4 linked regions of the Saccharomyces cerevisiae S288C genome follow. Changing the gene in region 2 together with the main gene of any one other region gives a genetic interaction. Each region holds a gene or a part of one and is shown on either strand. Other genes may lie near its edges.

Region 1 (5,709 bases), on a different chromosome or scaffold from region 2:
TGGAAAAAAAAAACCGATTTCACTTTCTCATCCTTATATTTTTCAAAGGTTGATGCAAGTCGATCTCAAATCGGATAACGCTGCCAACTGGGAAATTCCGCAATTCCGCAAGAAAAAAAAAAATGTGAAAACGTGATTGCATTTTTTACAGGTCCTAAAGGATTTAGCCCACATATCAAGAGGGTGGCAGTAATTGCACTGATTAAGCATTCGTCAGCATTAGGCGAATGTGTGCATGAATATTGCCAGTGTGCTCGATATTAGAGAGTACATTGAAGAATATTGTACCGGATTATGTACAATAACTTTGTTAATGAGATATTAATTTTCTTTTTTACTAGCCGCTATCCCATGCACGATGCTAAATTTCAAGAAGAAACTGAGATTTAAAAAATTAGTGGAAGCTGATAAAACGGACTATAATGGTGTATGGATTGAGGAATCTCGACATGTTTTTCCATCGTTTTCAACGATGACTGTAACCCGTAGATTGAACCAGGCATGCCAAAGTTAGTTAGATCAGGGTAAAAATTATAGATGAGGTTATATGTATGGTACGTAAAATTTACATGTTTGGATAGTATCATAAAATATAGAAAGGTGGAAGGGATTACCTAAAAATCAGAGTTTATAATATGCAAGGACGGCCTGTTGAGAACAAAAAACTGTAGTATCTATCGCTCACTATATATCTATTAAGTTAGGATTTTCTTGCTGATGCTGCTGTTGTTGCTGTTGTTGATTGATGGGGACAAACGCAGTGGGAACCATAACATACCCTGTTTGCTGACCCTGCATCATTTGTGGTTGCTGCTGCGCACCAGTAGAGGCATACTGAAGTTGACCGGCCACGGGATTCGTCATGTATGTGCCCATTGGTGATGTCACCACGTTTTGAGCCTGAAATGGATTACCTGTTTGACTATGAGCAAGAATCGGGGTGGTTTGTGCTTGTTGGAGGGTAAAAGGATTTGGGGAGTTTTGGAAATTTTGTTGTTGCTGTTCTCTGGCAATATTTTCTAGCGAAAATGGGTTGTTAGACCCCGTTTTTGTTGGATCTAAAGTGCCGGTCATAATTGCATTGTTCTCGGTGGTCGTGTATCCGCCGAACCCTGAGCCGGTGAAATTTGGGGTGTATTGAAGGTTAGAAGCATACATCCCAGTTTGTTGATTATTCAAATTTGGAGTAATCTGTATCTCACTTGGTTGTGGCATTGTAGACGCAGATGTCAACTGTAAAGCCTGTTGCTGTTGTTGCGGTATCAAGAAGGGGTTAGCAGTTGGTTGAGGGACTTGAGCGGTCATTTGTGGCTGGGTTGGTTCGAATGAAAAGGTGTCATTATTTAAATCTTGCTGTTGTGATCCAAATGGGTTGTAAGCATCTTGTGGGACCGTGGGGGAAATGAGCAACTGTTGGTTTTGTAATTGTTGCTCCAGCAGTCTTTTTTGTTCCCTTATCTGTTCCAGTTTCTTCTGCGCTATAGACTTATTCTTGTCATTGCTGTTGTTATTGTGACTACTGGTAGAGCTAATGGCCGTAGATGGTTTTCTATCTTGCTGCGGTTCAGAAGGTTCACCTCTTTGTCTTTTTGTTTCCTCTCTCAAATGCTCCTCAAGGGAGTTAATTAACTTTGTAGTAATATGTTTGATAACGGGGATTTTCAAACCGACAGCTTTTCCTATTTTTAGGTATCTAACAACATATTCTGTCATATCCACGAAATCCTTATAGAGATCCAGTGTTCTTTTTGCGTGCTCAATGGACAATTCGAAGAATGATTCTAAAAGTGTAATGACACCTTCATTAAGAGCATTGTACAGACCTAGTAAATCTTGTACTAACAATTGGAATGCATACAATAACAAATGGTTTTCTAAATCTGAAACAGAGTATTTATTCCTTATCAAGGCATTAATTTGAATTTCCAATGATTCAACATGATCTAGCTCTTCATCCATTGAAAGCTGGTTCTTACTGCCCAGCTTTAGCGAGGAGTAATTGTCTCGTAGGTGATCCATACCTAGCCTGCCATACTCTTCACAACGTGTTTTTAGGTATTCGTCGTATCTCTGCAAAGCCCTCATATCATTGGAAGACCACTTAGTAGTATGCGAAATCTTTCTCAATTGGAAAACATCCAAATTATGGGAATAGTGCCTTAGCGTGACATCTTTTTCGCCTTGTTGTATCATCAGATGCAACACAATCAATGCCTTATAAACAATGGTCCAGGCTGTATCAGACAACCTTATATCCAATGCGTGGGTAATCTCTTGCAATCCTCTTGCGCTCGAAGTGCCCGAGAGAATAGGGTCCACATATTTTTGCTTTGGAGGGGCCATCTTTATTTTGGTCGCCCCTTTAACCAACTTAGTATATAATGAAGACATTGTTTCACAAACACGCCTCTATATCTATTATAGGGGTAGCCGAGACAGTCGCGCTTGTATGCTTGATATTGTTACTCTCGTAGATGTTAGCAAGCGTAGCAAATTGGTACTCCTGCTACAGATTTATTTTTTCTCCTTCTAAAATTATAACTCAAGCAAGAAGCCCTAATAACAAGTTAACCAGACTAATAAGTCGACTTTTTCCTCGAATGTAGAAAAGAAACTTTTCTACGCAGCTGCAAACTTAATCTATCCCTCCACCAAAGCAAAATGAAAACAAAGCCATACTGGGAAAAATCTGAAAAAAAAAATGGTAGGAGTAAAAGAAAAGAAAAAATAAAGGTTACCCTGCAGTTTGGATAGTCGGGTAACATTTGGCCCTTTTCCTCCTTGATTGGATATTATTACCCCGATTACCCCTCATCTTGGGAGTGCCCCGCTTTTATTTCTCCCGCCAATCGGCTATTAACGGCTTTACGTCATTCCGTGGGCGGGTCAAGCGAGCCGCTCCCTGGTTTGGTCACGCAAAACCGAAAGGCTCAAACAAAACTAAGGCCATCATATATATATATGCGGCTGCGTGCGTGTATTCTCCCGGATAATATGGTGCGTTGCAATTGGAGTATTGGAGAAAATTTTCTTTTCCCTTTCATTACGGCGGAAATACTTCATATAAAAAAAAAGAATACAATCAGTCTTTAAGACTATACGCATAAGCATTCAAGACACATAGAAACACAAACCTATATTTTTAATGTCAGCATCAGCTTTTAATTTTGCCTTTAGAAGATTTTGGAATAGTGAAACAGGCCCTAAAACAGTACACTTCTGGGCCCCAACTTTGAAGTGGGGGCTGGTCTTCGCAGGGCTAAATGATATTAAGAGGCCTGTTGAGAAGGTATCAGGAGCACAAAATTTATCTTTATTAGCGACGGCACTGATTTGGACGCGTTGGTCGTTTGTCATCAAGCCCAAGAACTATCTGTTAGCTTCCGTCAATTTTTTCCTGGGTTGCACTGCAGGCTACCATCTAACAAGAATTGCTAACTTTAGGATACGGAACGGTGATTCTTTTAAACAGGTTATTCACTACATAATAAAAGGGGAGACTCCTGCAGCCGTCGCAGCAAAGCAAACTGCATCCACATCGATGAACAAAGGTGTGATCGGTACTAATCCGCCAATAACGCACTGATTACGTAAACGATAATATGTTCCTGAACTCGCATTTTTTTAATGATTTTTTATGACCTCTTATATATTCTTTCATTATATAACCTCTATATTACATCAAAAGATGGAAAAATATAAAAAAATTAAAAAAAAAAAAAAGAAATTTTTTCCAAAAGAGTATATTTATATGTATGTATACATGTAGGGAAAATAAGAAACTTTATTAATAGTAAAAAAGCATATATACTTTATTATTAACTCTTTTGTTTTTCTCGAGAAGCTTAATTTTGGGTCAATTCAACGACCTTTTTAGCAGCAGGATCTAATTCATCAAACGAATAAATCTTCACGCCTGACTTATTGATAATGTCGCGGCCTTCTTCTACTTTGGTACCTTGCAAACGTGCCACAATGGGGACCCTAACTTCTAGTTCTCTGGCGGCTTCTACCAGCCCCAGGGCAACATAGTCACATCTTACGATACCGCCGAAAATATTGACGAAAATTGCATCTACGTTCTTATTGGATAAGATCAATTCGAAACCTTGTTTGATGGTCTCAGGGGTGGCACCACCACCACAATCCAAAAAGTTCGCAGGATCGCCTCCATTTAATTTGATGACATCCATAGTAGCCATAGCCAAACCAGCACCATTGACTAAACATCCAATGTTACCCTTCAACTTAACAAAATTCAAATCATACTTCTTTGCCTTAACTTCATCAGGATCTTCTTGTGATAAGTCCCTCCAGGAATATATCTTTTCCTGTCTGAATGATGCGTTATCATCAAACCCAAATTTGGCGTCTGTACACATGATTTTGTGGGTTGGATCATGTTCAATTTCACTCAAAGGGTTAATCTCCACTTGTGTAGCATCCCTTTCCATGAATATTTTATACAAATTGGAAACAGCTTTTGCTGCCTCGTCTTGTGCATCGGGACTGAAACCGAGACTCTTGGCAACATCCTTGGCCATTTGTGGGCTCAATCCCTTTGAAGTTTCAATTGAAAATTTCTTTATAGCATCTGGGGTTCTCTCAGCCACCTCTTCAATATTCATACCACCTTGACTGGACGCAATGATCATCGGTTTCTTGGTTTGTCTGTCCATTAGAATAGATAAATAAGCTTCATGCTTTGTATCTACTCTTTTCACTATATATACAGCAGATACTGGCTTCCCCGCTATTCCCGTCTGTTTAGTAATCAGGTTATGATTGAGCATTTCTTTTGCAACATCCTCTGCCTGCTGAGGACTTTCGATCATGTGAACACCGCTTTTGTAACCGGTGTCGAAGTGACCTTTACCTCTACCTCCGGTCAATGCCTGCGCCTTGATGACCAGTTTGTTAGTGTTTAATTTCTTGGCTGCTTCGAAAGCCTCTTCGGGAGTGAACGCTGGAAATCCTTCTGGAGTACCAATACCGTATTCCCTCAATAACTGAGCTGACCTGTATTCATGAATTGACAAGTGTCTCCTTGCTTGTAAAGCAGCTTGCGCGTTTAGCCTGCTTAATTGCCCACACTTTGAAATTAGGGATAAGGATTTTCTTGAGTACATTTTGTTCAGTTGCAATGCTTCAGTATTTTTTTCGATTGTATTGACTCAATCCTTATTAATCCTAACTACCTAAAAGTCAGTTACAAAAAAACTGGACTATCGCTCTATAGTCACTGTTATTTTTCGAGAGAAAACGTCAAAGTGCTGATAAGGAAAACGTCGATCTTATATAAAACCTCAAAGATGTTGACTACGCGGCAATTGAAAGGCCAACCAACTTTTAGAATACTCACTCCGCCGCTGCGGGGAAAAGCCGAGAATTCCCGATGAACACATAATCGATACCAGTTGGAGCATTTTTCTCTGTACCAAGACATAAAAAGAGTTTTTTTTAGTATCTACCTGGCTTTGGTGTTCCATTCAAGGTAGAGAAGTCCTCATACAGTTGGAGAGATGAATGTATCTGTGTATATGTATGTATATATTAATATGGCTACGATGTCGTCTAATACCCCTTCTTCTTTTGTTTGGTGATGTGTGCACGTAACACTTTTTGCTTGTCTCGTAGTGACATTTTTTGTTTACCTCTAACAGATCTCTTGTGAATAGACATAACAAAGTTCTTCCTTCTTTCTTTTTC
Region 2 (3,185 bases):
CGGCTGACTTTGAACTGGAGCCAGTGCCAGCATTGGTCAAAGAATTATCGAGTACATAAGACCCGTTGTTCTTTTTTTCTCTATCCGCTGTTGCAGATGAGGTTAGCTCCGAATCTCTTATTTCATTCGTATTATCCAGTTGACGATTCATGCTATTGTATTTCCCACCGTCGTCCCTTACCAAACGAATAAGGCTATAAAAGGCCTCGTCTACGTTGATGGCTTGTTTCGCAGACGTTTCTAGAAAGGGTGCATTCAACTGCTTGGCCAGGCGTAACCCGTCTTCATAAGAGACTTGTCTTTCATTTTCAAGGTCCAATTTGTTACCTACCACGACTACAGGAATGTAGTCAGAATCTTTTACTCTTTGAATTTGCTGATAATAAGACAGTAACTCATCAAAGGAATTTCTAGAGGTGACGGAATAGACCAGTAGGAAACCTTCCCCAGTCCTCATGTACTGTTCTCTCATCGCAGAATACTCTTCTTGTCCAGCAGTATCTAGAATGTCCAAAATGGATACTTTGTCATCGATGACAACTTGTTTTCTGTAAGAATCTTCGATAGTAGGGTCATATTCGTCCACAAAGTATGATTGAATGAATTGAATTGTTAAAGCAGATTTACCAACGCCACCTCCACCGACAACTACTATCTTATACTCTCTTATAGTTGATTTATTTCCCTGCATGTCGTTCTAAAAAGGGAAAATTTTGTTTACCTGTTCAATCGTGAAATAGCCAAACCGAAGTCAATTGTGGCAGCAGTTAATTAAGCATTGCAAGAAAGAACAAGACAGATGATAATAGAGACACCGTACAAGAAAGAATCCAAATTAAGAGAACCATACAAAGACATAAAATATAAACCTTTCAATGTAAAACAAAAGGAGGAAAAAACCTGAAAAGCCGTGAAAAATTCATAATCTTGCGATGAGTTGAAAAAGTTTGTTGTCAAATGTCCATAGACTTACATGTAGTAAATATTTTTGGTTTCTTTTTTTTTCTTCGTGCTTTTTTTTTTTCCTACGGGTTTACATTGTGCCAATGTGAATTTCCCCGCCACTCCCTACCGAACGGGTAGCAGCGTAGAACATAGCGATCAAGGGTGTGCTAAGTGAAGAAGCAATTCAGTGCGGGTAATACATATTCCTAGCCTCGTTTGCCGTTACATTGCATTGATGGTACAATAAAGGGCATGCTTTATATCGAGATGTTTCAGTGTATATGAGGGGAAACAGAAAAGAGTCATTCCTGCCATTTTTTGGTCACTGCTTTTTCTGCTATGAGTAATGGTGAAGTTCCTTGTGGCTACACGCTTAATGTCATCGGGTTACTGCTCCTAATATCCGCATATAAGCTTTATGCAGGGATCAGTTGGGCGGCTATTTATCTACACCCAGTCATCCGGCGTGACTGGATCTCCACTTGCCGCAATAAGTCGGTGGACAAATGGAGATTTAAGAGTAAAGATGCATGATGGTATAATTCCTTTAGTCGAAATAGATATATTTCAAGCGCATATATAGGCAGACGCTTGTACTGTAGAAATAGCCGATATTCAATTGCGCTCTATGTGTGTTTTTATTCCAGGTTTTCCTTGGATTCTACGTATTGTACGACTTTCTTATCCTCCACAAACGTCATCGTGTCAGTAATGTCTTCAGACACTTCATTATCAGAATCTTCATTATTGAAAGAAGAGAGTGGGAGCTTGACCAAGTCTCGTCCACCTATAAAATCAAACCCTGTACGCGAAAATATCAAATCATTTGTGGCCGGTGGAGTTGGCGGGGTATGTGCGGTGTTTACGGGTCATCCCTTCGATTTGATTAAAGTGAGATGTCAAAATGGACAAGCGAATTCCACGGTACATGCCATTACAAATATTATAAAAGAAGCAAAAACTCAAGTAAAGGGCACATTATTTACCAATTCCGTAAAGGGGTTCTATAAAGGTGTTATCCCGCCCTTATTAGGTGTTACTCCCATATTCGCTGTTTCTTTCTGGGGTTACGATGTGGGTAAGAAACTGGTTACTTTTAATAACAAGCAAGGAGGCAGTAACGAGTTAACTATGGGACAAATGGCTGCAGCAGGATTTATCAGCGCTATTCCTACCACTTTAGTGACTGCGCCAACGGAAAGAGTAAAGGTTGTCCTGCAAACATCTTCTAAGGGCTCTTTCATTCAGGCGGCTAAAACCATTGTTAAAGAAGGTGGCATAGCTTCTTTATTTAAAGGTTCATTAGCCACTTTAGCAAGAGATGGGCCTGGCTCAGCTCTATATTTTGCATCTTATGAAATTTCAAAAAATTACTTGAATAGTAGGCAACCTCGTCAAGATGCGGGCAAAGATGAACCGGTCAATATCTTGAACGTGTGTCTTGCTGGTGGTATTGCTGGTATGTCGATGTGGCTAGCTGTTTTCCCCATAGACACTATAAAGACAAAATTGCAGGCTTCCTCCACGAGGCAGAATATGCTTTCCGCCACAAAGGAAATTTATCTACAAAGAGGTGGTATCAAGGGATTTTTCCCTGGTTTAGGTCCTGCTTTACTAAGATCTTTCCCAGCCAATGCGGCCACATTTTTAGGTGTGGAGATGACTCATTCACTGTTCAAGAAGTATGGCATATGATTAAATTTTTGTTAGGTGGACCTGCCTCCCATTTTTTTCTGGCATTCCTTTTGGGAACTTTTTGTTATTTTTTGGTTCTGCAATTTCGTTCAGTGTATGGTAGAAAATATCAGTTGGGTTATCCCGGTTTCCTTGGCGTTGTTGTCGAAGCGTTCATATTTGTAACGCAATGGAGTAAATATAAATGTGATATGTAAAAAAAAGAGTTATAATTTATTCTGTTTCTTTAAATAGTATAAATAAAAAAAGTGGAAAATACAAAGACAACGTGGGCTGATTACAGTATAATCAACCGATATGGTTTTGCCAACCAGCAGGCTTTGGCAACTTGTTTATATTGTAGAATTTAGTAGTACATGAATAACTGTGCCATGTGAAATCTTTGCTTGGATCACAGTCACATTTGTTAGCCAGTCTGATACTTGTGTCTATTGGACAGGAGTGAAATGGAACATGGTAATAACCAATATCACCGAAGTGATGGATTTCAGAGCGGTCCAAGAACAGCGCAGCACCAATAGAATGAACTGGAGCATCACCCCATC
Region 3 (5,745 bases), on a different chromosome or scaffold from region 2:
AGAATCATCTCGGTTGAATGGAGCATTATTTTTTTAGTAGCGCCCGCCCGGAGAAATGGACGTTGGCGAATGAGCCATGAATTATTAACCGCCCATGTCTACCAGATACCACATCGTATGACAGTACCAGCCTAGTCCCGGTAAACCGCAAACGGACCTTAATTGTGACGAAGGGCCCAAATTTGATGGGTCGGTGTTAATGATTAGTCCTCATTGTCATAATAAAGTGTGATGATGGAGGCAATGATGATATACGGTAGTACTACTGCTCGAGGTGCTATCTTTTAACCAATCCTTTGAGATTCTTGTCGCCACGGAGTTACTACCTTTTACAAACCGTAATGTCACATTTTGCATATATCTTATGTATAAATATATAGTTCACTTACTACTTGTTCTCGTTTTGTTAACTTTCTTGTTGTAGTTCTTCTTGTTCTTGGCGTTTCCCCCTTTGTTTTCTATCTGCTTCATAAGTAAAGTGCAAAGCATTTTGGAAGATATTATCAATTGAGTCATTGAAAGAAACTTGGCATCTTCCCTATTACTAAAACTAAGAATACTTGATTCAAGAAAGAAGTTTATATTAGTTTTAGCCGTAAGATAACATAACAAAGAAGAAGAAAGAAAAATGTCTCAAAAAAAGAAGGCTTCCCATCCAGCCATCAATCTCATGGCTGGCGGCACAGCAGGTTTATTTGAAGCATTGTGTTGTCATCCTTTAGATACAATTAAGGTGAGAATGCAAATATACAGACGGGTAGCTGGTATTGAACATGTTAAACCCCCAGGATTTATTAAAACTGGGCGTACCATTTATCAAAAAGAAGGTTTCTTGGCTCTGTATAAAGGTCTAGGTGCTGTGGTCATCGGTATTATACCTAAGATGGCAATCCGTTTCTCGTCTTATGAATTCTATAGAACCTTATTGGTTAACAAGGAATCAGGAATTGTGTCTACCGGTAATACTTTTGTTGCTGGTGTTGGGGCTGGTATCACCGAAGCTGTTCTTGTCGTGAACCCGATGGAAGTTGTAAAGATTAGGTTACAAGCTCAGCATTTAACTCCGAGTGAGCCAAATGCTGGTCCTAAATATAACAACGCCATTCATGCAGCCTACACTATTGTCAAAGAAGAAGGTGTTTCTGCCTTATATAGAGGCGTTTCCTTAACTGCGGCAAGGCAAGCAACTAATCAGGGTGCTAACTTCACAGTTTATTCTAAACTGAAGGAGTTTTTGCAGAATTACCATCAGATGGATGTCCTACCTTCATGGGAAACTTCTTGCATAGGTTTGATTTCGGGTGCTATTGGGCCGTTTTCCAACGCTCCATTGGATACTATAAAGACAAGGCTGCAAAAGGATAAGTCCATCTCATTGGAAAAACAGTCCGGTATGAAGAAAATCATAACCATTGGTGCTCAACTACTGAAAGAAGAAGGTTTTAGAGCTTTGTACAAGGGTATTACCCCAAGAGTGATGAGGGTGGCTCCAGGTCAGGCTGTCACCTTTACCGTTTATGAATATGTAAGGGAGCATTTAGAAAATTTGGGTATATTCAAGAAGAATGACACACCAAAGCCAAAGCCATTAAAGTAGATGATGAACAATGGGACTACAAAATGAAATAAAGAAAAAATAGAAATAGGCTAGAAGATCAATTATTAATCGCCCTATTCTTCCTTATTACCTACACAAAATAAAGCAGCAACATAAGAAACAAAAACAAAATGAAAACAAACCAAATAAATCTATGTAAGCATACTCATTTCAATTTGATATTCATTACTTGACTTTTTTGTCCTTATTTGAGGCTCCATAAGCGCGCCATTTTTCCCTACTCCCTTTTTTCGTAAATAGTAATAATGTGCTGAAAAGAACAATGAAGTAGTTATCATACATATTCCGTCGTGTCGATATGAGGGGAGGTGTCTCTTTCTTTCATCCCTTGTCGCAACCTCCAATATATAAGAGCATAAGCAACTGATCTTACTTTAGTAATTAACTTAGCATACCTAGCCCGAAGGAAGAAAAAAAATTCACCTCAACAACATGGTTCCTAAGTTTTACAAACTTTCAAACGGCTTCAAAATCCCAAGCATTGCTTTGGGAACCTACGATATTCCAAGATCGCAAACAGCCGAAATTGTGTATGAAGGTGTCAAGTGCGGCTACCGTCATTTCGATACTGCTGTTCTTTATGGTAATGAGAAGGAAGTTGGCGATGGTATCATTAAATGGTTGAACGAAGATCCAGGGAACCATAAACGTGAGGAAATCTTCTACACTACTAAATTATGGAATTCGCAAAACGGATATAAAAGAGCTAAAGCTGCCATTCGGCAATGTTTGAATGAAGTCTCGGGCTTGCAATACATCGATCTTCTTTTGATTCATTCGCCACTGGAAGGTTCTAAATTAAGGTTGGAAACTTGGCGCGCCATGCAAGAAGCGGTTGATGAAGGATTGGTTAAGTCTATAGGGGTTTCCAACTATGGGAAAAAGCACATTGATGAACTTTTGAACTGGCCAGAACTGAAGCACAAGCCAGTGGTCAACCAAATCGAGATATCACCTTGGATTATGAGACAAGAATTAGCAGATTACTGTAAATCTAAAGGTCTCGTCGTCGAAGCCTTTGCCCCATTGTGTCACGGCTACAAAATGACTAATCCAGATTTATTAAAAGTTTGCAAAGAGGTGGACCGTAATCCAGGTCAAGTTTTGATTCGTTGGTCTTTACAACACGGTTATTTACCACTACCGAAGACTAAAACTGTGAAGAGGTTAGAAGGTAACCTTGCAGCCTACAACTTTGAACTGTCAGACGAACAGATGAAATTTCTTGATCATCCTGATGCTTATGAGCCTACCGATTGGGAATGCACAGACGCGCCATAAAAAGAAAATGCGAACCGTAGAATAACGTATATAGAACATATAATTAGTTTACGTTTCACAAAGTATTAATATTACATGTAGCTTTTTCAGGACTTTCGATCTAAATCAAAGATTAAAGGAGCTGCTAGAGGTAGAAAAGGAAATCATTGACTTTTCTTGAAGATTTATGAGCGGGTAACTGGAGATGGAAATTTTCAGAAAAATTGTAAATGGATGCGATGACTTCGATGTGACGTTACTAGTCTTACCATTGTAAAAACCACTATCGGTGCCAAAAGATAAGCGCAATCAACTAAGAAATTTACCACGCTCTTTGTATTGTATTTATCTCCAATTTAATCTTTCTTTTGGTGTGAAAATTTAGCGAAAATGTCATTGGTGAATTCGTTAACACACTACGAAATTTTAAGAATTCCATCGGATGCAACACAAGATGAAATCAAAAAGGCATATAGGAATCGGTTACTAAATACGCACCCCGATAAACTTTCTAAAAGCATACATGATACGGTTAGCAACGTCACAATCAATAAGATTCAAGATGCTTATAAAATACTATCGAATATAAAAACTCGTCGCGAATATGATAGGTTGATCCTTGAAAACTATAAACGCCAAGGATTTCATAATTGTGGTGATGGGCTGGATGAATTTTCCTTAGACGATTTCTCATTTGATGAAGATAAGCTGGAGTTTATGATGAATTGTCCTCGCTGTCAATTTGTTGGTGGTTTTCATTTTAGTGAGAGTTTGTTAGATGAATGCATTGATAATGTAGACGCTATGGAACGGAGTCATTCTGGTTATCAATTATTAACCCAATGTAGCGCATGCAGCTTATGGCTGAAGGTTAATTTTGACATCGAGGAAGAGCAAGAAGGACAATAATGAAAATGGGAGGGGAAATTGAGCATATCAGATAAATCTGTTTATAGAATTATTATTTTACTTCGTGGGAAATCGAATGGTGTATATAAAAGAGGTTGTAAAATTGACGAAATAAATAGTATTTAGGCAACTAAAGATAAAAAAATATTATTTATTTTTATTCGCGGTGCGTTGCCAGATTTTTTTTGACATGCGGAATTTTGGTAAAAAGAAAAATGCAGATATGAATAGTAAACAAAGGAATAAAAAGCCTTTCATGAAGAAGTTCGTGTTCGAGATCTTCTTCCTTCTTTTTCGCTGTCGACGATAGATATGAATGCTTTTGCCATTGATTTCAAATCCGTCATTAAGCTAACATGACCTGAAGAACTGGCGATTTTACAAACAACTGGAAAGCCTCTCTGTTCAGGCAATAACCATTTATGGTGAACAACACCGTCGCCCGGACCATAGTAAAAATCTTCATAATTCCCATCTTTTATATCTTGTATACCGTTCACTTTAGCACCTCTAACAGTGGGAACCTTGTTACCGTAAACCATGGCCAATGGAGGATATTCTTTGTTCGGGTCGTAATCTAAGCTATCCAAATAATTCTTTGTACGTTTTAAAGTTCTCGCTAAATATTCACAGCTATCTTCATAAGATGTATGGAAGACTTCATCGAAAGGCACATCCCTTGGTACCTGTTTATTATTGCCGGCTACATTCCTAACAACAGGTGCATTTAGGACAAACTTGGTAGTTGCGTTTAGGGTAGCTTTAAGCGAAAGCGCTGATTTCGTTTTCCTTGGTAATAATTTTGATTTTTCGTGAGCTGATTCCTCTCTTTTCTCATTGACGAGAGGTGACAAGCCAAGGGTTTTCCAAACATCTGTATCAAAAAAATCGAAATCATACCTCTCTAAGGTAATTTTGTCAACAAAACATCTACCATCTAACGGTAGAAAATAGAAACTACTTCTCATAAAAAAGTTGGTTTCTTTAGTGAAAATAGTTTTATTCCACATCACATCATCTCCAAACCTAATAGGACCTAAAATATTTGGACATTGGCTTGGGGAACCCACGTAAATAATACCTCTTATCAAATGAGTACAGTCTTGCAACACTTTATGTGCGACCAATCCGCCCATTGAATGGGCAATGATGTATATTCCCTTCTTATTTTTTTGCTTATTGTAAATTTCCTCTAGTTTAGTCGTTAAATGCTTGGCAGATATGTCCAAGGATAATCTCCAATCATAGCCAAACTGCTGAACATTTAAATTAGGATTTGCGTCTAGCCTCTTTATCAACCTCTTAGAGATATCAACAGGCCCTATATGTGTTAGCATTCCATCAGGGACAATCTCCTTCTGAGTTTTAAGTTCATCTTCGTCATTAGGTCCGATCAATAAATCGACTTTCGTCATATTCAAACCTGCCTTTAATGGGATCCAAATTCGCTTATGAGTAGTAGCATCCCTTAGCACACTACCTCGATATCCACCCATTATAACGACATCTCCTTCCAATTCATTCCATATAGATTCTAAACGCGAACGGTAATATCCGTCATGAGTTTTGTCGAATGGGTCTGCTGTTATTTGCTTAATGGAGTTCTTCAAGGCATCCATTTCCAAAGATTCTTTAACAGCCCTTAACCTTGAATTATCAATGCCCCTTTCGTATTTAAATAATTCTATCTCTTCCAAGGAAGAAATGGAGGTTGATTTTTTCAGTTTTTGCTTGATCTCATTCTTTCTTAGATTCTTTTTGATGAACTCATCTGGAGTCTTGGGAAGCACAGTTTTAATTATGGCTAATGGTGAACTTGATCGGAAATTTGTATTACCAAATGGTAAGGAAAAGGAGAAAGTTTTATGAGAGCTGTCATAGTTCCCGTCATGCGAATAAGAAATAATTTCATCGAGATCTTCATCATCAGCGTCAAGAGAAATGGCACTCGCTTGCTT
Region 4 (9,105 bases), on a different chromosome or scaffold from region 2:
TTGGGAACGTAAGTTGGTTGTTTTATATGTTTGCGCTGCAAAAATTTACACCTGTATCGCAATGTAAACTTATTCACCAACCATTTCATGCGAAATTATTTACTTCTAAGGAATTAACAGTCGCGTACACTAATTATTTCGGCTCCCAAAGGTTTTATATTCAGAGGTTAGTAGAAATATTAGGAGGACTTAGCACACCTGAACTAACAAGAAAAAACACACACTTGATCACGAAGAGTACAATTGGCAAAAAATTCAAAGTCGCAAAAAAATGGTCACTGGACCCGCAAAATGCCATTATTGTGACAAATCATATGTGGTTAGAGCAATGTTATATGAATAATTCCAAGTTAAACCCCAAAGACAGTAGATTTCAAAATTTTAAATTGGATGATAACATGGGATGGAATATCGGCCAAATAGGAATGGATCATTCATCTCTCCCAACTCCAAAAAACCTATCGATGGTGACTTACGACACGCAATCCATATCAGAGAAGCCGCCTCCCACAAATGATCAAATGGATCAAATTAACGATAACACCAATGTATTATCAAAGAAAGATGGTACGCCCATTAGTAGTTTTGAGAACTCAATTGATGAAAAGATTGACAAATTACAAAAAATATCAGGAGAGGTGGCTGTAACCCATTCTGGAGATTTAGAACGGAGTTTTGTTTCCAGACCTTCAAGGGCAAGTTTTCCAGTAGTTGACAGTAAAAAATCTAATTTACAAAAGAAAGACTCAAACTCAGATATTAGTATGGAAACAGAGGTTTTCTGTGAAGGACATGAAAAAAGAGAAGAAAAGGAGTTTACGAAACCTATTACGGAGTATGATGCACCTAAGAAACAAGAAATAAGGGAACAGTCACGCAAGAAGAATGACATAGATTATAAAAAAGAAGAGGAAGAAACGGAGCTGCAAGTTCAGCTAGGACAACGAACTAAACGAGAGATCAAAACTTCGAAGAAAAATGAAAAGGAGAAAGAAACCAATGAATGTCACATTGAAGTAGATCAAATGACGAATGAAAAGCAAGGGGAGGAAAGTACAGGAAAACTGATTTCTACGGAAGACGTCACTTCTAAAAAAGATACAGATAAATTCTCGCATTTGTTTGAAGGATTATCTGATAATGATGATCACATTAATGACGAAAAACCGGCAGTTAATTCCAAATATACCACACCCAAGACGTCTCAAAATATTACGAGTGGCGTTGATACTCCAACCACCGCGCAAACGCAAGTTTTTATGCCATCAAGTGGCAATTCAAGGTTAGCAAAGACACAAGCTGCGAAGAGATTGCATACAGATATTGAATCATTAAATGAATTTCAGAAAAACTTTAAAAGGAAGAGAATTGATAGCGAGGAGATTTCATTGTCCCAAGATGTTGAAAGGTCAAATAATAACAAAGAACTGGCTACTAAAGCGGAAAAGATATTAGCTAGATTTAATGAACTACCAAATTATGACCTAAAAGCGGTTTGCACCGGTTGTTTCCATGATGGATTTAATGAGGTTGACATCGAAATATTGAACCAACTAGGTATAAAAATTTTTGACAATATTAAAGAAACGGATAAATTGAATTGTATTTTTGCTCCAAAGATTTTGAGAACCGAGAAATTTTTAAAAAGCTTAAGTTTTGAACCGTTAAAATTCGCATTGAAACCTGAATTTATTATTGATTTACTGAAACAAATTCATTCTAAAAAAGATAAACTTTCTCAAATAAATATAAACTTGTTTGATTATGAGATAAATGGAATTAATGAGAGTATAATATCAAAAACCAAACTACCTACTAAGGTGTTCGAAAGAGCGAATATTAGATGCATTAACTTAGTCAATGATATACCGGGTGGTGTAGATACAATAGGCTCTGTTCTAAAGGCACATGGTATCGAAAAAATCAACGTTTTACGTAGTAAGAAATGCACATTTGAAGACATAATCCCAAATGACGTTTCTAAGCAGGAAAACGGAGGCATTTTTAAATACGTACTTATCGTCACCAAAGCTTCACAGGTTAAAAAATTTACCAAACTGATTAATGATCGTGATAAAAACGAAACAATTTTGATTGTTGAATGGAATTGGTGTGTTGAATCAATTTTTCATCTCAATGTTGATTTTACATCAAAGAAAAATGTTTTGTATCAAAAGAAAAATAACTAAAAATGGACACTATATATTACGTCATCTGACATACGACACTGATAACAAATAAATATATAATAATTATAAAGATGCGTTGTAGAAAATCTTATGTTCAACAAACAACCCACATATGATTAACAGACCATTTTAAATGTCTAGTTAGAAACAATTATTTGGTACTGTCTTTGAATTAGATTGTTTAATAAAGCATTTCTAATATAGGATACAAAGGGTCAAATAGTACCGTGAGTAGAATCATTTATTCCACACTTTATCCGCAAACCTTTTAATTTTTCTACAATTTCATGGATAAAAACAGATTCATGGCCAGAATGCGTAAAGCAACTCTATTGTACAATTTTCCACTCTGAGATATTCACACAGCGGAGAGCCCTTCTACTCAATGCGTCAAGAACAATGTTCCAAACCTAGTGTATTTTAGGTATATTATTACGAGAGTATCCGCAATGTTAATGACGCAAAATTTAATGGCTCAAGCCAACTACTAACGTTAGTAAGAACTTTTTGATCTAATAATTAAACAGGTTACATCCATAGATTTACGTCAGAAATCTTAAATAATGTTTACATGCGAACAGTACCAAGATACATATATGTGGAGCGGATGAGAGATAAAATTGGGTTAAATGGGAAACATTACGGTATGATGCATAATTTTGAGTTTGGGCTTATTATCCTCGTGCGTATTGTATCGTCTCAATATGAGTGAAGATAAATCACCTATTACCCGAACTTTGAAGAGAACACTCTGAAAATTTGGTGAATAAGAAAGGGCTGTAGGTATTATTCGCGAAGCTTTCATTTATTGTAGTGAAAACTAGGGTGACAGAAGCTGATGGTCTGTTCTTCGATTTAGTACTGCCAATTTCAAGTTTTTCACTTCTATAGCTTTGGTATTGGTCATTGTAGAACAATTTTATAATGCATGAACACAAAGCGGAGCTACGGCTAATAACCGTTGCACTTAACGAAGCATCCACCGATTCCCCCTCTTTTAGAGCTTCTGTCAATTATTTCCATACCAGAATGGAATCTCTGAGTAGTTGGATGCACAGTACTGTGGATTATGTAGAAAATACGTACAAGCCTTCGTTCCAAGACTTCCAAAGAATAAAGGAAACACTATTTTCACAGCTGCTCCCTTCTCCTATATTACTCTCCAATGGATTTGTCAGTAACCAGCCATATACTCCCTTGCTTGTAAGAGACTTTACTAGAGATGTCAGTGACCTTTCAAATACGGTTATGAAAATAATTTTAGGTGATGAAAACTCACAATACACTGCGGCATTGTCTGCTTTGAGCTCTGATGCTATTAACCCTTACTTCAACAAGAGAAAAACTTTTGAATACTACCAAAGGAAGTATGATTCGTTTTTAACTGACTTTTTAGCGGCCACTAATGATGGCAATACTTTAATTCCACAAAATCTGCAAAATGAAACATTCAAATTAGTCGATATTAAACACAAATATATAGAAGCTTCCTTGGATTTGACTGAGGCTATTTCGTTAATGAAAGTTAATTTGGATAAATTCCTGATAGAGACAATAGACATTGTGCGCAAAAATAACGTTATTACTACCAAGGACACCAAGGACGTTATCGACATTACTCCCGAACTTACGGAAACATTAAAGGATTGGACCGATTGGATAGAAAGTAACCTTCAGACTTTACAAGCATTGTCATCCAAGCTATCTGAAGCTAAGTATGCCATTCTGAAGCTCAGCTTGGCAAGAATGAAGCCATCTCGCCTGATACAAGACTATGATTTGAAAAGCATACAAAATTTGAAGTTTAACCTTCCAAAATCGATAAGTAACGGAAATAATTCTGAGGAAAAAGGGCTATCGGGTTGGTTGTACATGAAAACTACAGTTGGTCATGATCCGAAAAGAGTTGTGTGGGTAAGAAGATGGTGCTTTCTACAGAACAATGTTTTTGGAGTTTTTTCACTGTCGCCTAGCAAAACTTATGTCGAAGAAACCGATAAATTCGGTATATTATGGATAACTGTAGAATATCTGCCCAAAGAACCTAGAAATTTTTGTTTCAAATTGAGGATTCAAAATCCAAATTGCAAAACAGAAGAAGAAAATACATACATAGATATCATCCTGCAAGCTGAAAGTATTGACGAGTTAAAATCGTGGATAAACACCTTAACTTCTCACAAAAGAATCGCATTGTCGATAAAGGAGGAAAACGATCCTCGTTATCAATTGGCGAGAAAAAAAATTGAACCTCAATTTTTCGAGTTTGCTTCAAGTAGCTCAACGTCAACAGATAAATTATTAACTTCATTTTCCAGTAAAACTTTGACATTGGTAGAAGAGCTAAAAAAAAATTATATGTCAGAGGATGATATATACTCTATCATTGATAATAAGGCATACCATCTGAGAGTAATTTCTACACCGATAGCCACGCAGTTGACTCATTTGGCTTTATTCTCTACATTTCTATCTGTATCAAATTATTATCCGTGTGCTACCCAGGCAAACACCTGGGGTACGGCAAATTGGAATGATTTGTCCTATTTAGTCAATCCACTCAAAGGAAGTTCAGTACACAAGCCAGCCACAGTATCGAATTCTTCCAGGTTTTCCGTTAGCTACCCCGACTATTATCCATACAGCCTGAAAGTCGATGATATACAATTTAGATCAATTTTCTTTTCAGTGAATCATGATTTTTTACAAGTCCCAAAAGAACTTGTTCTTTTAAGATATTCATCGGTGTGGTGCCCGAACAATAAACAAAAATTTGCATCTATGGCTTTTGTTACCCTTAACCACATTTATGTCTATTTAAATATTTCAGGCTTTTCATATTTGAGAAGAATAGATTTACTAGATATCGACTCAATCGAATATGATAAAAGCCCAAAACATGTTTCTTCAAGAATGCTGCACATGCAAAGAGGCGATGGACTCAGGTTTAATATGTCCGTCTTTTTTACAGATCGAAGAGCAGTTGCCTCAAAGTTACAATTTCTGATAGAAAATAAGGCAATGCATATCCCAAAGGGCGAAAAAGAGGTTTTAGAAATTTTCCAGGAATTAGACGAAGAGATTGAGAACGAAAAAAAAATCATCAAAGATAATTTGTCAGAATCAGAACATTATTCAAAAGATTATGATTATCTATTGAAGAGCACGTATGACCATCATTTTGAGAATACTAACGAAACGCCTATGGAATTAATGAGCAGGAAACTCCGTTTAGAAAGGGAAGCCTGGTGCTACTTTCAAGACAATTTTAAAGTCGGAAGCAAGACGCTATTCCACGTTCTTTTTGGAGACAAATCTCAAGTTTTTCCAAGTTCACTATTTCTTTGTAAGAAGGGCAGTAACTTGAATAACAATTCATACTGGGAGCGCATTAGGCGCGCGAAAGAAGATGCAAGTTGTCAATTTGAACTTTGCCGTAAGTTACAGTTTCAACTGAATCGAACTTCTAATTTTATCAAAGATCTATTATGGTTGAAGGATGACAATGACAACTTCAAATTAGTTCTTCAGCAGCGTGTGACAAAAATAAAACAAGGTTATTATTTTGAGGTGGAAGAAGGTCCCATTATTGTGAAATTTCCGCTATGCCATCCCTTACTCCTTCGTGTGAGGTTCATAATTGCAGAATGTATCACCTCTCAAGGAGAGTCCCTCAAAAAATGTGACCTGGCAATACTATATGACTTCAACTATGTTGAATCTATTGATAAGTTGAATACCAAAGTTGAAAAACTATGGCTTTTTGAAAGAATACACCTCAACTGGGCATTGAGATATTGTAAACTTGAACATTCTGAAATTAACAGAAAGACGAGGGAATATCTAAAAAAATTCAACGATAGAGAAAAAATGAGTGATGTTATTAAATTGTGTGGATTCCTTGGTGTTTTACCAAAGGAAAGAATAGAAAACGATGAAAAGGCCGGCGATTTCATGCAACCTGTATATATCAATTATGATTTTCTGTCTCTTTCAAAAATTTTTACAAAATTGACCGTGTTTTATTTAAGCAGTGTCATCATTAAGACCATGAAAGTTTTACTGGCAATGGTAATGGTTATCTTCAAATGTTTTTCAAAAGTTAACAAAACTTTATACTATTGTCTTTTGATATCTGCGGTAACCAATTTGTTCTTTGTTGGTAAATCTATTCATTCATATTTCTCCGTAAAGTCAGCCGAAACCCTATTTCAGAACTATGCCAATGGTGATCAGCGAGGACTTCAAATCATGCATCGGTCTTTGACAGTGCCTGATTTGAACCTACTTACAAGAAAAATGATGGATAATGACCAGGAAAATCCAGTATTCAAGAGATTTGACGAAGACAAAAATGCATACCAGTACAAAGGAACAAGGCAAGAAATTGCAATTAAACGAAACCAAGTGCTGACGGAATTAAAAATTCTACAAAATACGGAAAAGGAACTCGTACAGGGAAGTTACAGAAAATTCATAATAACAGAAAGAGACAAATGCATCACCACTCAGAATGAAATCTTTGATTTATGGATAAACGATACCAAACTACAAGATTATTGTATGGCATGTTTTGCAGAGTACAACAGATTATCTGCCATTCCAGTCTGAATAGTGCCCCAGAATGTCTACTCTTCAATAATCAGAAGGACCCCGTCTTGTCTAATAGAATGGGTGAACTTTTTTTATTTCTTGGCTCATGATTATATTGTAAAATACATAGCATTTTATATAATTGTGGTGCTAACCCTAAGTACTTTTTTTTTTCGCCCTTTCCGGGTTTCTTTTTTTCACCTTTTCGTTTTTCTAGAATTTCGCAAAGTATATAAGAGACCATAAACAGTTGGAGAAAAATATCACAAATTTATCAGCCCAATTTATGGCAGCTTAAAAATGTCTAGGTCGATGCTTTCAACGATATCTTTATCAGGTGATTCTTACGCGCCAGGTGGATAGAGGAAATTTGCGACAGTAGGTTTACTGTCCTGGTTTCCTTGTACACTTGTGATACTCATTTTTTGTCTGCCAATAATATAGTCCTGTTTATTTGTTATATGATGATAACCTTCTCAGCTCACTCAGATCTTTTGATATGATTGATAAAAATTTCCTATCCAACATTCATCAATTTATCTGACCAAACAATAAACTTAGTACTATATAGTCTCGCAGGCAATTCTCTTGAATAATTTCAACTTTTATATCTTACATGAAACTTAAACACGATACATGTATCCAGTTTTCATCTCGATCTGGTTCGCTGTGAAATTTTACTATAACACTGTTTTTGAAGTAGGATTTTTGCCAATAAGACATTTCATAGTTCGTGTACAGGCCGTGATATTCATCTAATTTGTTCAACCACTTGAAGCCCCATAACTTTGTTTTATGGTTAACTATTCTGGAGGAGTCATCGAAAATTTCCTCTTCTATAGCATCCTGAACTTTTAAGCGGTTATATTCATATACTTCACTGAATCCCTTTTTTTCTAGTATATTGATCAAATCAGATAATAGCTCGATTCCGTGAATAACATATTTCAATGATTTGTTCTTTTTTGAAATGGCAATTTTTCGCAGCTTGTTTAACCTGCCCAAGGATTCCAGTACTGTTTCATTCTCATCAACAAGAAAAAATTTCAAAAGATTTAATGCTTCGTGGACCATATAATGTCTCGAATTCTGCGTTTTGACACTTTGTTCCTTTTCTAAGCGATTTACCTCCTCTGTATTTATGACATCATTCATCCATTCCTCATTATCTTGTTGATCATTTTCTGTGGCGTTTTCTGTCTTAATATAATTCCCATCTTTATCGAATACCCCATGTTTTATTTCGTCATCTATATTAAATGGCTCTATATTCACACCTTTTTCTACCTTGCTCTCTGAATTACCGATCTGATAATCTAAGTCGGCTAAGTTTTCTTTCTTGAACTCTGCAATATCCAAAAGCTGAATTTTCGATTTCTTTCGCTTTCTATGGTCTTCGACGTGATCTTCATTTTTTTCATAGGATTTTTCATCCATTTCTTTCCCACTATTTTCATTATCTGTAGAATCTTCAACGCTAGAATCAGAATCAGAATCATATTCTGCCCTGCTTAGCTCTTCATCTTCATATATCGTACTTTGATTATGTAACTCATCGCTAAGCTTTTCGTCGTGTTCACGTCGATCACTATTTCTTTTCAGTTTTGAGCTGTTCGGGTATTGCGTATATTTCATATCCTTCTACAAACAATATGGTGCACTTGAGTGTTTTTATCAAAGTTTTCCCTTGTTCTTTAAAAGGCAGCTTAGCATGGTCATTCCAATTTGTTCGGATGCGCTTCTTTTAATCTAGTCAGAGAAACTTACCCATTAAGTAATTAAAATCGATTATTAGGGCATAAATGGAAGAAAAGGAGACTATGTTGGTAGAATGTAAAGGAAGGGACCCTCATTCACAAACAAGGCAGGGACTTTTATGTTACTACTGAATGTTCATGGTGATGAGTGATAATGTCCTTTAGCTAATAGAGTAAGCCACACTTATTCAAAGGTCAATTTGGAGTAGGCTTACAAATGTAGTCTTTTCTTTCATAAACCAGTAGTGTTAAACTTTATGTTTCTTCAACTTTGACGCACAATATTTGGCGGCTATTTTCCGCTATACCAAATAAAATATATCTTTTGTATAAGAAAACAAACTGCTGAAGAAAAGAACATACAGCAACTTGGACAACATGTCCATCGAGGAGGAAGATACAAATAAGATCACATGTACGCAAGACTTTCTTCACCAATACTTTGTAACTGAAAGGGTTAGCATTCAATTTGGGTTAAATAACAAGACCGTAAAAAGGATAAATAAAGATGAATTTGATAAGGCAGTAAATTGTATCATGTCATGGACAAACTATCCTAAGCCTGG

The links.
Region 1: mutations in CRC1 (region 2) and MPC3 impair growth when combined (synthetic growth defect), as found in Saccharomyces cerevisiae (2 studies listed by BioGRID, with this or other methods).
Region 3: mutations in CRC1 (region 2) and JJJ3 together harm fitness more than expected from each alone (negative genetic interaction), as found in Saccharomyces cerevisiae (2 studies listed by BioGRID).
Region 4: mutations in CRC1 (region 2) and LAM1 together harm fitness more than expected from each alone (negative genetic interaction), as found in Saccharomyces cerevisiae (2 studies listed by BioGRID).

Annotation. Positions count from the first base shown.
Region 1 is NC_001139.9:974,191-979,899, forward strand, and holds MPC3 (mitochondrial pyruvate carrier), read left to right. Parts: upstream 1-3,145; coding exon 3,146-3,586; downstream 3,587-5,709. Other genes in the region: YGR240C-A (uncharacterized protein), read right to left, coding at 387-587; YAP1802 (Yap1802p), read right to left, coding at 685-2,391; LSC2 (succinate--CoA ligase (GDP-forming) subunit beta), read right to left, coding at 3,846-5,129; SDA1 (Sda1p), read right to left, coding at 5,575-5,709. UniProt on the Saccharomyces cerevisiae protein: Mediates the uptake of pyruvate into mitochondria.
Region 2 is NC_001147.6:512,750-515,934, reverse strand, and holds CRC1 (carnitine:acyl carnitine antiporter), read left to right. Parts: upstream 1-1,656; coding exon 1,657-2,640; downstream 2,641-3,185. Other genes in the region: Ras family GTPase RAS1, read right to left, coding at 1-691; alpha-1,2-mannosyltransferase KTR1, read right to left, coding at 2,929-3,185. UniProt on the Saccharomyces cerevisiae protein: Transports carnitine, acetylcarnitine, propionylcarnitine and to a much lower extent medium- and long-chain acylcarnitines.
Region 3 is NC_001142.9:609,145-614,889, forward strand, and holds JJJ3 (Jjj3p), read left to right. Parts: upstream 1-3,268; coding exon 3,269-3,787; downstream 3,788-5,745. Other genes in the region: SFC1 (Sfc1p), read left to right, coding at 629-1,597; YJR096W (aldo-keto reductase superfamily protein), read left to right, coding at 2,051-2,899; YJR098C (uncharacterized protein), read right to left, coding at 4,042-5,745.
Region 4 is NC_001140.6:403,990-413,094, forward strand, and holds LAM1 (Lam1p), read left to right. Parts: upstream 1-3,113; coding exon 3,114-6,800; downstream 6,801-9,105. Other genes in the region: RTT107 (Rtt107p), read left to right, coding at 1-2,189; U5 snRNP complex subunit LIN1, read right to left, coding at 7,395-8,417; REC104 (Rec104p), read left to right, coding at 8,918-9,105. UniProt on the Saccharomyces cerevisiae protein: Involved in mitochondrial fragmentation during programmed cell death in response to high levels of alpha-factor mating pheromone or the drug amiodarone. May be involved in sterol transfer between intracellular membranes.